Caenorhabditis elegans: one gene and its partner. The protein of the gene in region 2 interacts with the protein of the main gene of each other region in a pairwise test. Each region holds a gene or a part of one and is shown on either strand. Other genes may lie near its edges.

Region 1 (4,706 bases), 8.4 Mb from region 2:
CGGTAAACAGGTAAATAGTTAACTGAATAGCGTGATCTATTCTACTACTGTTTAGGTATTCATCGCCTATTCCAACACGACAGATGGTTGCCACCTTGACTGGTCACGCAAGGGTCCCTCTGTCCCAGTGAGTTGTATACACCAATCTTCACACTCAAAAAATCAACAAAATGCGCGAATTTGCGCAGTAATTTGATCCGTCTCTTCCGTGCTTCTCCCCCTTTTTATGCTTCCTGGTCAACACGTTTTGATTTTTTTCTTTTCTTTTTTTCCGTCTTTGTCTCATTTCATTTCATCATCATTGCCCTTTCTCCTCCCCCTTCCCTTTTTTGTATAATATTCACTTTTTGTCCTTTGCTTAAAAGTCGTGGGGCAAGAGCAAAAAGTACAATGACCCGGAATAAAGGTATCAAATTGGTGAATAATTCAAAAGGAGCAGAAAAGAGAAAAGGGGAAAAGGTTGGAATTCTGAATAATATGCAAAATGGAAATCCTACATACATATAGAAACATACATCAAAATGTTGAATAAAAGAACAAACAATGTGTCAAGTCATGCGTGTAAATTCTCTCTTTACTGGACTTTTGTAGCTTTAAGGTATTAAGACAGTTGGAGGGGCTCATTGTGCAATACATTTTTGAATGAGATCATTTGGAATGAATTAGGTTTTCTTGTGAAAATCCACCCCCGTGTAATTTTCGAAATTGTTGTTTAGAAAAAAAACCATGAGACTACACTGCACTCAATTAGTATCTCGGTTGTTGTTTGTTCTATCGAAAAGGTTGTGTATTTTTATTATTTTTGATATATTCAAAACAAACTGAGATAAAATCCTTCAAAGTGAGACGAGATACTTATAAACCATTTTTCAGTTATAAAAATGTTCAAAAACTCACTTTTAGACATTGAGCGTGAAATTCCAGATTGGGATTGACCCTGAGGAAGTACCGATCTGATATTTCTGAAAATAAATAATTTTTTGGAATTTAGTCCCCGAAAGAGCTTACCCAATCGACAGCCGGCACAAACTGCCATCGGTGGTTGGTGCTGACGTTCTGAAAAATGAAAGCTCGATTAACTTTACTCTAACCCAAATTACCCGTCGACTTTGATTTGAAGATTACAGGGTTTGTGAGAGGAGGGGAGCTCAAGCTTTATTTAGGGAAAAGTAATAGAAAGAGGGGAGGGCCACGCGCACAAATGGATAATGATACCCAGTTAGGTGTCATGAAGGGGTTCATGGCTTCAAGAAAAAAGTGAAGAAAGGCAGGGAGAGCCTAACAAAACTCATAAAATAGCTCATTTGTGGGGTGTTTGGGGATGTTAGTAGCTGCCAAAACGTTTTTTATTTTATTTTTGCCCTCTTCTGTCAGCACTGTTTTGCCACGTCATTAATTTTATTGAGCTCCGTTTTTATTCGGAAGAATTTAAAGTCGACAGCTTCCTACTGTTTAAAAAATAACATATTAAAATGTTCTAATTTTAAAACTATAACAACTAAAGGTAGTCATTTCAAACTATTGATAATCCCCTTGTTCAACATTTGACATCTTATTTTAGGAAGTAAACTGGCCGTTGACAAACAAGAAGTAACAATCCCAAAAAAAGAAGGAAAGTTTACTTAATATAAGCAATTATAAACACCCCACCACTACAGTAATCATAATCGGAGCGGCGGCAAATAACTACTTATTTGGGAGGAGAGTGTTGCGATTTGAAATTAGAATTGAAAATTGACCTAGAGAAAAACTTTTTTTGAAGAAAATTAGGTTTTAAAAACTTTCGGAATACAAAACTGTGAAAAGTTAATTTTTATTAATATCATATATTTATTTGAAAACTTTCTAGGTTAAGTTTTCGAGGCCAAGAAAATCGAGAAAATCTGGTTGGGTTGTTGAAATCTTCAAACCGGATATGTACATGTGATGTGCATAAGGCGATTATAGCTTAGATCTTCATCGAAGGACCAGATGAAGTTATGCGTTTTTAAGACAACAAGAAGAAGGTGGAAAAGAAAAAAGTAAAAGAGGAGGGGGACAAATGGAATGAAAGAAATAGCGATTTTTGTTTTCTTTTAAACTTTCAGAACTTGATTGAACTAAGAGCTTTTTGATGGAGCCTCCCATTTGTTCCCCACCCCCATCATATCGTTTAATCAACAAAATATATTTTTGTGTGAGACCCCCCGATTCTTTTGTTTGCCAAACTGGTGAATAAGCAAGGTGTCATGGAAAAATGTGTAGCTCAAATGGGTTTTTTCTACCAAGAAATTTAGTAATGTTATATGACTTCAAAATTTTTTGGAAGTGAGCCCATTAAGTTCAGACACCTTTCGGAACTTTGCTCATTTATTCATTGGCTCATCCCTATAAGTAGTATGGGAAAAGAATCGGAAGAGCACCAGAGCTTCAGATAAAAAAGTTGCAAAATTCAGGGGAAAATAGACGGATATTTAAGGCTTAGAAGTGCGAATAATCTTTTTTTCCAGATTTTCTCCCTCTCCTTCTTTCGATTTTGTTATTGCAGGGATTTTGACATTTTAAGATTTATTTTTCAAGATTAAGTGGAGTTTGAGAGAAGGTGTTGTATTCTTAGATCTGTTAGATGTCTTTTCAAATGGAAATTTTATGAATCTAACTTAACTTTTGTTTTGAATTTTTTAAGCTGTGATTTTCAGAAAATTTACAAAAAAATTTTTTCCGGATGTAAATTCTTTGAAATATTTTGGCCCACGCTTAACATTTTCAAATTAAAAAAAAAACACTCACGTTCAACAGGAGAATCAAGGCACAAGTACTTGGTATCCGGTTCGTCTTTCCAAAATGATCCACCAATTTCGAGATCCGATGTTCCTGGAGATGTCAGTGAGAATTGCTCATAACCATTTCGCATACAGATGTTCATGCCGTTGAACAGATATAGAAGTTTGTGATTGATTACTAGATACACACAAACACAGATAGGACAGTTGGAAGTGTCACAAACGAAAAGAGAACCGAGAGCCCTGGGACCCACGGAGAGACAAGAAAGTGGGCGGAGTCATTGAGCGGGCGGACGACGAGCGACTGGTTGGTAGACTCCACCTACTAAGTGAGGAGAACGAAAGAAGTGAGAAGAAAACCAGCCGGATGTGAACACCCAAGTGATAGAATAAGAGTGTGAACATCCTGATTTTGTGGATATGGTAACCTATATTTCTTTTATTTGTAATTAATTGGATTAAAGCAGTTTTGTGTGAACTATTTGGATCATGAAAAAGTTTAAAAAATGACATTTCAAATGCCAAAAAAATTTTTGAGACAGTTAAATGTTACTGGCAAAATATATTCTATGAAATTACTCATCAAGATTGAAGTAATGAGCAAAAAATTATATTTAAACATTTAGAAAATTTCGAAATTTTTGAACAAAATTGTCTGCTCCTGAAAAAATTAAGAATTAAGGAAAGTAATGTGAGAAATTTGACCTCACTTTAGTTTCACAATTAAAGTTTCAAAATTAAATTACAAATCGCTTAGGACGTTTAAATTTCATAACCCTAGATTTTAGAGTTCAAAATCCATCCTATATTTTAGTCAAATTTTCTCGTACATTTTCAAATGTTTTTCTAGTTTCCTTTAGCTTCCATACTAATATCTCCGCGTACTACAGTTTAAGACAATAAACTCACAAAGTGTAGAACATCTTCAGAGTCTATAAATTATTCATGTAACTTTTCCAAAAAATGGCTGCAATACTGAAAAAATGTGGTATGTTTGCTTCGATCTTTAACACAATCATTTTTCTGATATTTAAATCAGAAACTGACTGGTTCTCTCAGAGGTTTAAAGTATTATGTTCATTGATGAATATTTTAAAAAATTGAGAAAAAAAATTGAAATCAGAAAACATGAGAATTCAACAAGATTATCCCTGGAAATATCTTCTTATCCGGATTCAACCTGACCCTCATTCTTCCTTTGGCTGGTGGACGCCATATTTTCCTTATTGAAAACTATCTAGAAACTAGAAATATGTTTTATTTTATTTTATTTTTGAGTCTCTCTTAGAGTTCATATCGATTGAAATATAGACTTGAAGTCCCAATTAGTCTTGCGTCCCTAATAGTATTGCACTTCTTCGTTAGTATTGCAAACTCTTCATTCTTTTAGTCAAAAAAATTGTACGAAAAGTGAATTTGCAGTTTCTATAGAGTTGCACTCTTAAATTAGCCGACACGTGGACATATGTATGTTTTAACTGATTCCCCCACTTCCTGTATACCTCAAAAGGTGTGAAATAACGAATGAAAAGATGAACATGCATGCGAGAGAAGGTGATAACGGACAAGTATTCGAGGATACTGTAGATTCCATCGATTGATAAGGATTTGAAAGATAAGATGATTAAATGGATGCTGGATTAATCCAGAATATTGGAAAATTTTTAGAACCGGGGAGAAATGTGAAAAATTTACAGCCATTTTTCAACTATTGTGGTGTAAGAGAAAACAAACTTTACAAGTTATATTTCATAGTTTATCGTATTCCATTTAAAAAAATATTTTTCCAAAACACGAAGAAATAGAAAGACCGAAATACAAAATTTTGTAATTTAAATTTTTTAATCTCGAAAATTTCTACATTTTGTACGAAAGTAAGTTTTGCAGTTTTTTGAACACTTCGAGAAAAGCTAGAAATCAATTTTCGCTAAAAAAAAAAGAGAA
Region 2 (4,884 bases):
TGTCTGACCACGCCCAGTTTTTAAGGCCAAAAATGCAGTTTTTCATGGGATTTTTCGAGAAAAATGCTGATTTTAGAGTTTTTTAGAAAATTATTCAGTAAAACGACTACAAACTACATAACCATTTTATGGGCGGAGCCTAAGCCACGCCCTTTTTCGGATTATTTTTTCCATTTTGTGGGCGGAGCCAGAGCCGGAATTTTTTTTGGGAAAAAAAAAAACTTATTTTGGAGCTTTTTAGGCCAAATTTGTGCGGAAAAAAGGCTACAAACTACAAAATGGATCGATTTTTCGTATTTTTGGGCCAAATTTCCGGTTTTCTGGCTATTTTTACGGGAAAAACTGCCAAAAAAAAAGCATTTTCTCACATCAATGTGCTGCTTGAATCGTTCGTGATGAGGTGTGTAGAGTAGGCAATATTCACACATATAAATGTCCAAATTTTCACAGTCAGGCGGAAACGGTGAATAGTACCAGGCGAGAATCTCGTGAGCGCCTATCGTTATTTGTGGTATGTTCTTCACTTTTGTACGCTGCAAAAAAAGTAGGATTTTAGGGGGAAAAATTGATAAAAGTGCAAAAATTGACTTAAAATCTCGATTTTCTGGCTTAAAAATTTGAAAACTTGATTAAAAAGCTTTAAAAAGTGGGTTTGCCATTGAAAAATTCACGTTTTACATTGAAAAAATGTTGGTTGAGGCTATAGACTACAAACTACAACAATTTCAAGCCTCAACCAATTTTTATTTGATTTTTCTATTAAAAAAAGCGGATTTTACACTTTTTTGAGCAGATTTTCCGACTTTTTTCGAATTTTCTCTCAAAAATTCCGTATTTCTTCAGAAAAAAAAAGAATTTAGGTGAATTCGGGTGGATTTTATGGGAAAAATCGATTTAAATGCAAAAAAAGTGACTCAAATCTCGATTTTCTGGCTTAAAAATTTGAAAACTTGATAAAAAGCTTTAAAAAGTGGGTTTGCCATTGAAAAATGCACTTTTTACAGTTAAAAAATGTTGGTTGAGGCTATACACTACAAACTACAAAATCCTAGCCTCAACCAAGTTTTTCAGGAGAAAAAATCGTGTTTTTCGGGTAATAAAGGGTGTTTTTTAATGAAATTTGCCAGATTTTGGCCCATGTTGGAGCGAAAATTGAGAAAATTGTGATTTTCAACCAAATTTTTCGATTTTTTTCGATTTTTCTCTCAAAAGTCCCGTATTTCTTCAAAAAAAAAAAAGAATTTTGGGGGAATTCGGATGGATTTTATGGGAAAAAAATCTATTCAAATGCAAAAATTGACTTAAAATCTCGATTTTTTGACTTAAAAATTTGAAAATTCGATTAAAAAGCTCAAAAAAGTGGGTTTTCCATTGAAAAATTCACTTTTTTTACAGTAAAAAATGTTGGTTGACGCTATACACTACAAACTACAAAATCCTAGCCTCAACCAAGTTTTTAAGGAGAAAAAATCGTGTTTTTCGGGTGAAAAAAGGGTACTTTTTTAATGAAATTTTCCAGATTTTGGCACTTTTTGGAGTGAAATTGAGAAAATTGTGATTTTCAACCAATTTTTTCGATTTTTTTCGAATTTTCTTCAGAAAATCCCGTACTTCTTCATGTTCCCGTTCTAGCCGGGCGGTCGTGGCGTCCAAATCATTAAGATCCGTTTTTAAATGTGAATATTCTTCCAATGTCCTCCGCTGACTTCGTGTTAGGGCTCCAGATGGCTTTATGACGGGCGGTCCGACGACAATTTCCTTGTGTAGATCTTCGACAGGCGCTTTTGTGGGCACTTTGATCACCGGCTCGACTACCACTTCGTTTACGAGAATTCTGAATGAAAATCGATAATTTTTTCGAATTTTGTAGTTTGTAGTCTCTCTAAGTGACTACAAAATACAAAAAATTGTGAAAATTTGAGAAAAATCGGCGAAAAATGAGAGAATTTTGATGCGAAATGGATTTGGTTTCAGATTTTGTTTTTCAAATTTTCACGATTTTTGTAGTTTGTAGTGGGAGAACCTCACCTAGAGGCACTACAAACTACAAAAATATTAGCCTCACCAAAAAATGTTGTAGTTTGTAGTTTTAGCAATTTGTAGTCCCAGCGCCTCAACCATTTTTGAGTGAGGCGCGGAGACTACAAACTACAATATTTTAGCCTCAACCAAAATACGTTTTTGCTCAAAATATTGCAAATTTTAGCTTTTTTTAAACATTTTCAAAAAAACTTATCAGATTTTGCTAAAACTACAAACTACAACATTTTTTGGTGAGGCTAATATTTTTGTAGTTTGTAGTGCCTCTAGGTGAGGTTCTCCCACTACAAACTACAAAAATCGTGAAAATTTGAAAAACAAAATCTGCAAAAAATGAGGAATTTCTAAGCGAAATGCATTTGGTTGAGGCTATCTATTTTTGTAGTTTGTAGTCTTCGAGCCTCAACCATCATTGAGTGAGGCTCACAAACTACAAACTACAACATTTCTCAGCCTCAACCAAAATACGTTTTTGCTCGAAATTTCGCGATTTTCATAGATTTTTGCCCATTTTTCTGCAATTTTCTCCACACGAACTTGTCCAGCGTAATCCATTCATCATTCCTCCGATCCAACTCCTCATAATGCACATAATACATGAGCTCTTTCGCTCCTTGCTCGTGATTCTCAATGGATTTATAGTTATTCGTGCGGACTTCTTGCGGCGGTTTTCGAAAATCAATGTGTATAATTACGGCGACCACCTGGAAATTTGATTTTTAATGGAAAAAAAAGAGATTTTTCTCGAAAATTTTCAGGAAAAATCAACAATAATTTCTGGTTTTTAATCGATTTTTTCACAAAAAAAAAAAAAGCGATTTCCGAACCTTTTTCACAGTATTAATAATGAATTTCTCGACCATATATCGTTTGTTAATTATTGGCATTATTTGTTGTTGCGGGGGTTCACTGTCATTTCCGCCGGGAGCAGCTGCCTCATTTGTTGAGTCGTGTGCTCGTTTCCTCGGCTCTCGTTTGCTCATTTTGTCTGGAAATTTTTGCTGAAATCGGCTGAAAATCGGGTCGAAAAATTCGATATAAAACACCGTAAATTACAGTTAAAAATTTAAAAATTTAAATTTTCAAAAATCAAAAATCGAGTATTTTTAATATAAATTAGAGTCAATTTCGTGTGAAAAAAAAAATTTAAAAAAATAAATACTGTAAGCAGAGAAAAGCGTCGTGGAACTTCGTGATATCATCAAAATGACAGTTTGCATCTTTGGTGCGCGGCCAAGATAGACATGGAATGAGTGATTTGGTAAAAATTTGGGGCTAAAAAATGGGGGGAAAAATCAATAAATAACAAGTATTACGGTAGATACAGAAAAAAAAATGGCAAAAAAAGCAGGAAAAAGTACTGAAAACGTCGATTTTTGGTGGAAAATCTGTTGGGTGAGGCTATAGACTACAAACTACAAAATTTGGCGAGCCTCACCCAATTTTTATCAAATTTTCGCGATTTTTCGCTTAAAAATCACCAAAAAACCGAAGAATTTCAATTTTTAACAGATAAATAGGTACAATTGGGGGAGCGGCGGGGTGAGTTCAAACAGTTTGTGTCGCGTCTTCTGTTGTTCCATGAATCGTTTGCACTCCGATTGTGTGATGGTCCTGCAACAAAACAAATAAATTGACTTAAATTGTAGTTTGTAGTCATTATGCTCGATTTGCGAGAAATCTAAACGGGAAATGAGTGAAAAATTCGAGAAAATCACGTGAAAATGACCTAGAAATCGATGTTTTTGTAGTTTGTAGTCTTTGAGCCTCAACCATCTTTGAGTGAGGCTAAGAGACTACAAACTACAAATTCAGCTCAGCCTCAACCAATTGGTTTTCGCTTGAAATTTTCGCGATTTTCATCGAATTTTTCTCGAATTTTCACTAAAATTTCGCAAAACTGATGAATTTTGGGGTGAGAAAATCCAAAATTTCGAACCTCATCCTCAACTTGTGTCCTAAGCGGACCACTTTCCACGTCACCAACTTGTGTTTCTGCGGTAGCTGCGGGGGTTCTTCGTGTACGTCGGGAGCCTGAAAATATCGAAAATTGTTTAAAAAAAAAGGAAAAAAAAAAGGAAAATTGGAGTTTTCTAAAGCATTTTTTCTCCAAAACAATGGTTGAGGCTCGAAGACTACAAACTACACAAAGTCCTCTGAGCCTCAACCATCGTGGTTGAGGCTATACTGGTTCTGTAGTTTGTAGTCTACAGCCTCAACCAACTTTTTTCTCGCTTTTTCCTTCGAAAAAATCGTTTTTTCTTCAAAAGTTCGGCGTTTCGACTAAAATTCGGCTGAAAATTCCGAATTTTTCAGTTAAAAACTTAAAAATCTCACCCAAAAGCCCATCAGCTGCCAAAAGCCGGTAAGTGAGCACTGTATTTGTGGAGGCGAGCGAGGCGATGACTAGACCGTTAATAATTGATACATACCACTCGAGATCCGGAATTGAGACCACCTGGAACATGGAAATTGTGCAAATTTTGCCGTGTTTTTAGTGAAAAAATCATCGAAAACTCGATTTTTCCACTGAAAAATGCACAAAATCTCACCACAAAATAGACTAAATACGCAGAAACGCAGAGACGGAACGCGAAAAGTGTCACCATATTGAGCAGAGCGATTATACGGAACGATGGGCTCTTCTTGTCGACTCCGTACCTGGAAAAATAGGTGATTTGGCTGAAAATCACGGAAAAATCGCTGAAATTACAAGTTCAACAAGCTCCTCGAGTGCAGGAAAATCGAGTTGAGCTCCATGAGCAATCCGAACACAACGACGCCGAGGAATCGGTTGAAAAACTGCAAAAAAATTGGGTTTTTTGGGGGATTTCAGCAGAAAAC

The links.
Region 1: the proteins of mys-2 (region 2) and lim-7 interact in a two-hybrid assay, tested with the Caenorhabditis elegans proteins (one large-scale study listed by BioGRID).

The regions. Positions count from the first base shown.
Region 1 is NC_003279.8:5,714,875-5,719,580, reverse strand, and holds the start of lim-7 (LIM/homeobox protein lim-7), read right to left. Parts: upstream 3,008-4,706; 5' UTR 2,906-3,007; coding exon 2,770-2,905; intron 1,057-2,769; coding exon 1,009-1,056; intron 963-1,008; coding exon 898-962; intron 209-897; exon of another isoform or gene 59-208; intron 1-58. UniProt on the Caenorhabditis elegans protein: Probable DNA-binding transcriptional activator.
Region 2 is NC_003279.8:14,116,897-14,121,780, reverse strand, and holds the start of mys-2 (Histone acetyltransferase), read right to left. Parts: upstream 3,029-4,884; 5' UTR 3,024-3,028; coding exon 2,868-3,023; intron 2,745-2,867; coding exon 2,578-2,744; intron 1,835-2,577; coding exon 1,612-1,834; intron 534-1,611; coding exon 369-533; intron 1-368. Other genes in the region: TLC domain-containing protein fld-1, read right to left, coding at 3,589-3,654, 3,980-4,074, 4,378-4,498, 4,593-4,701, 4,754-4,842.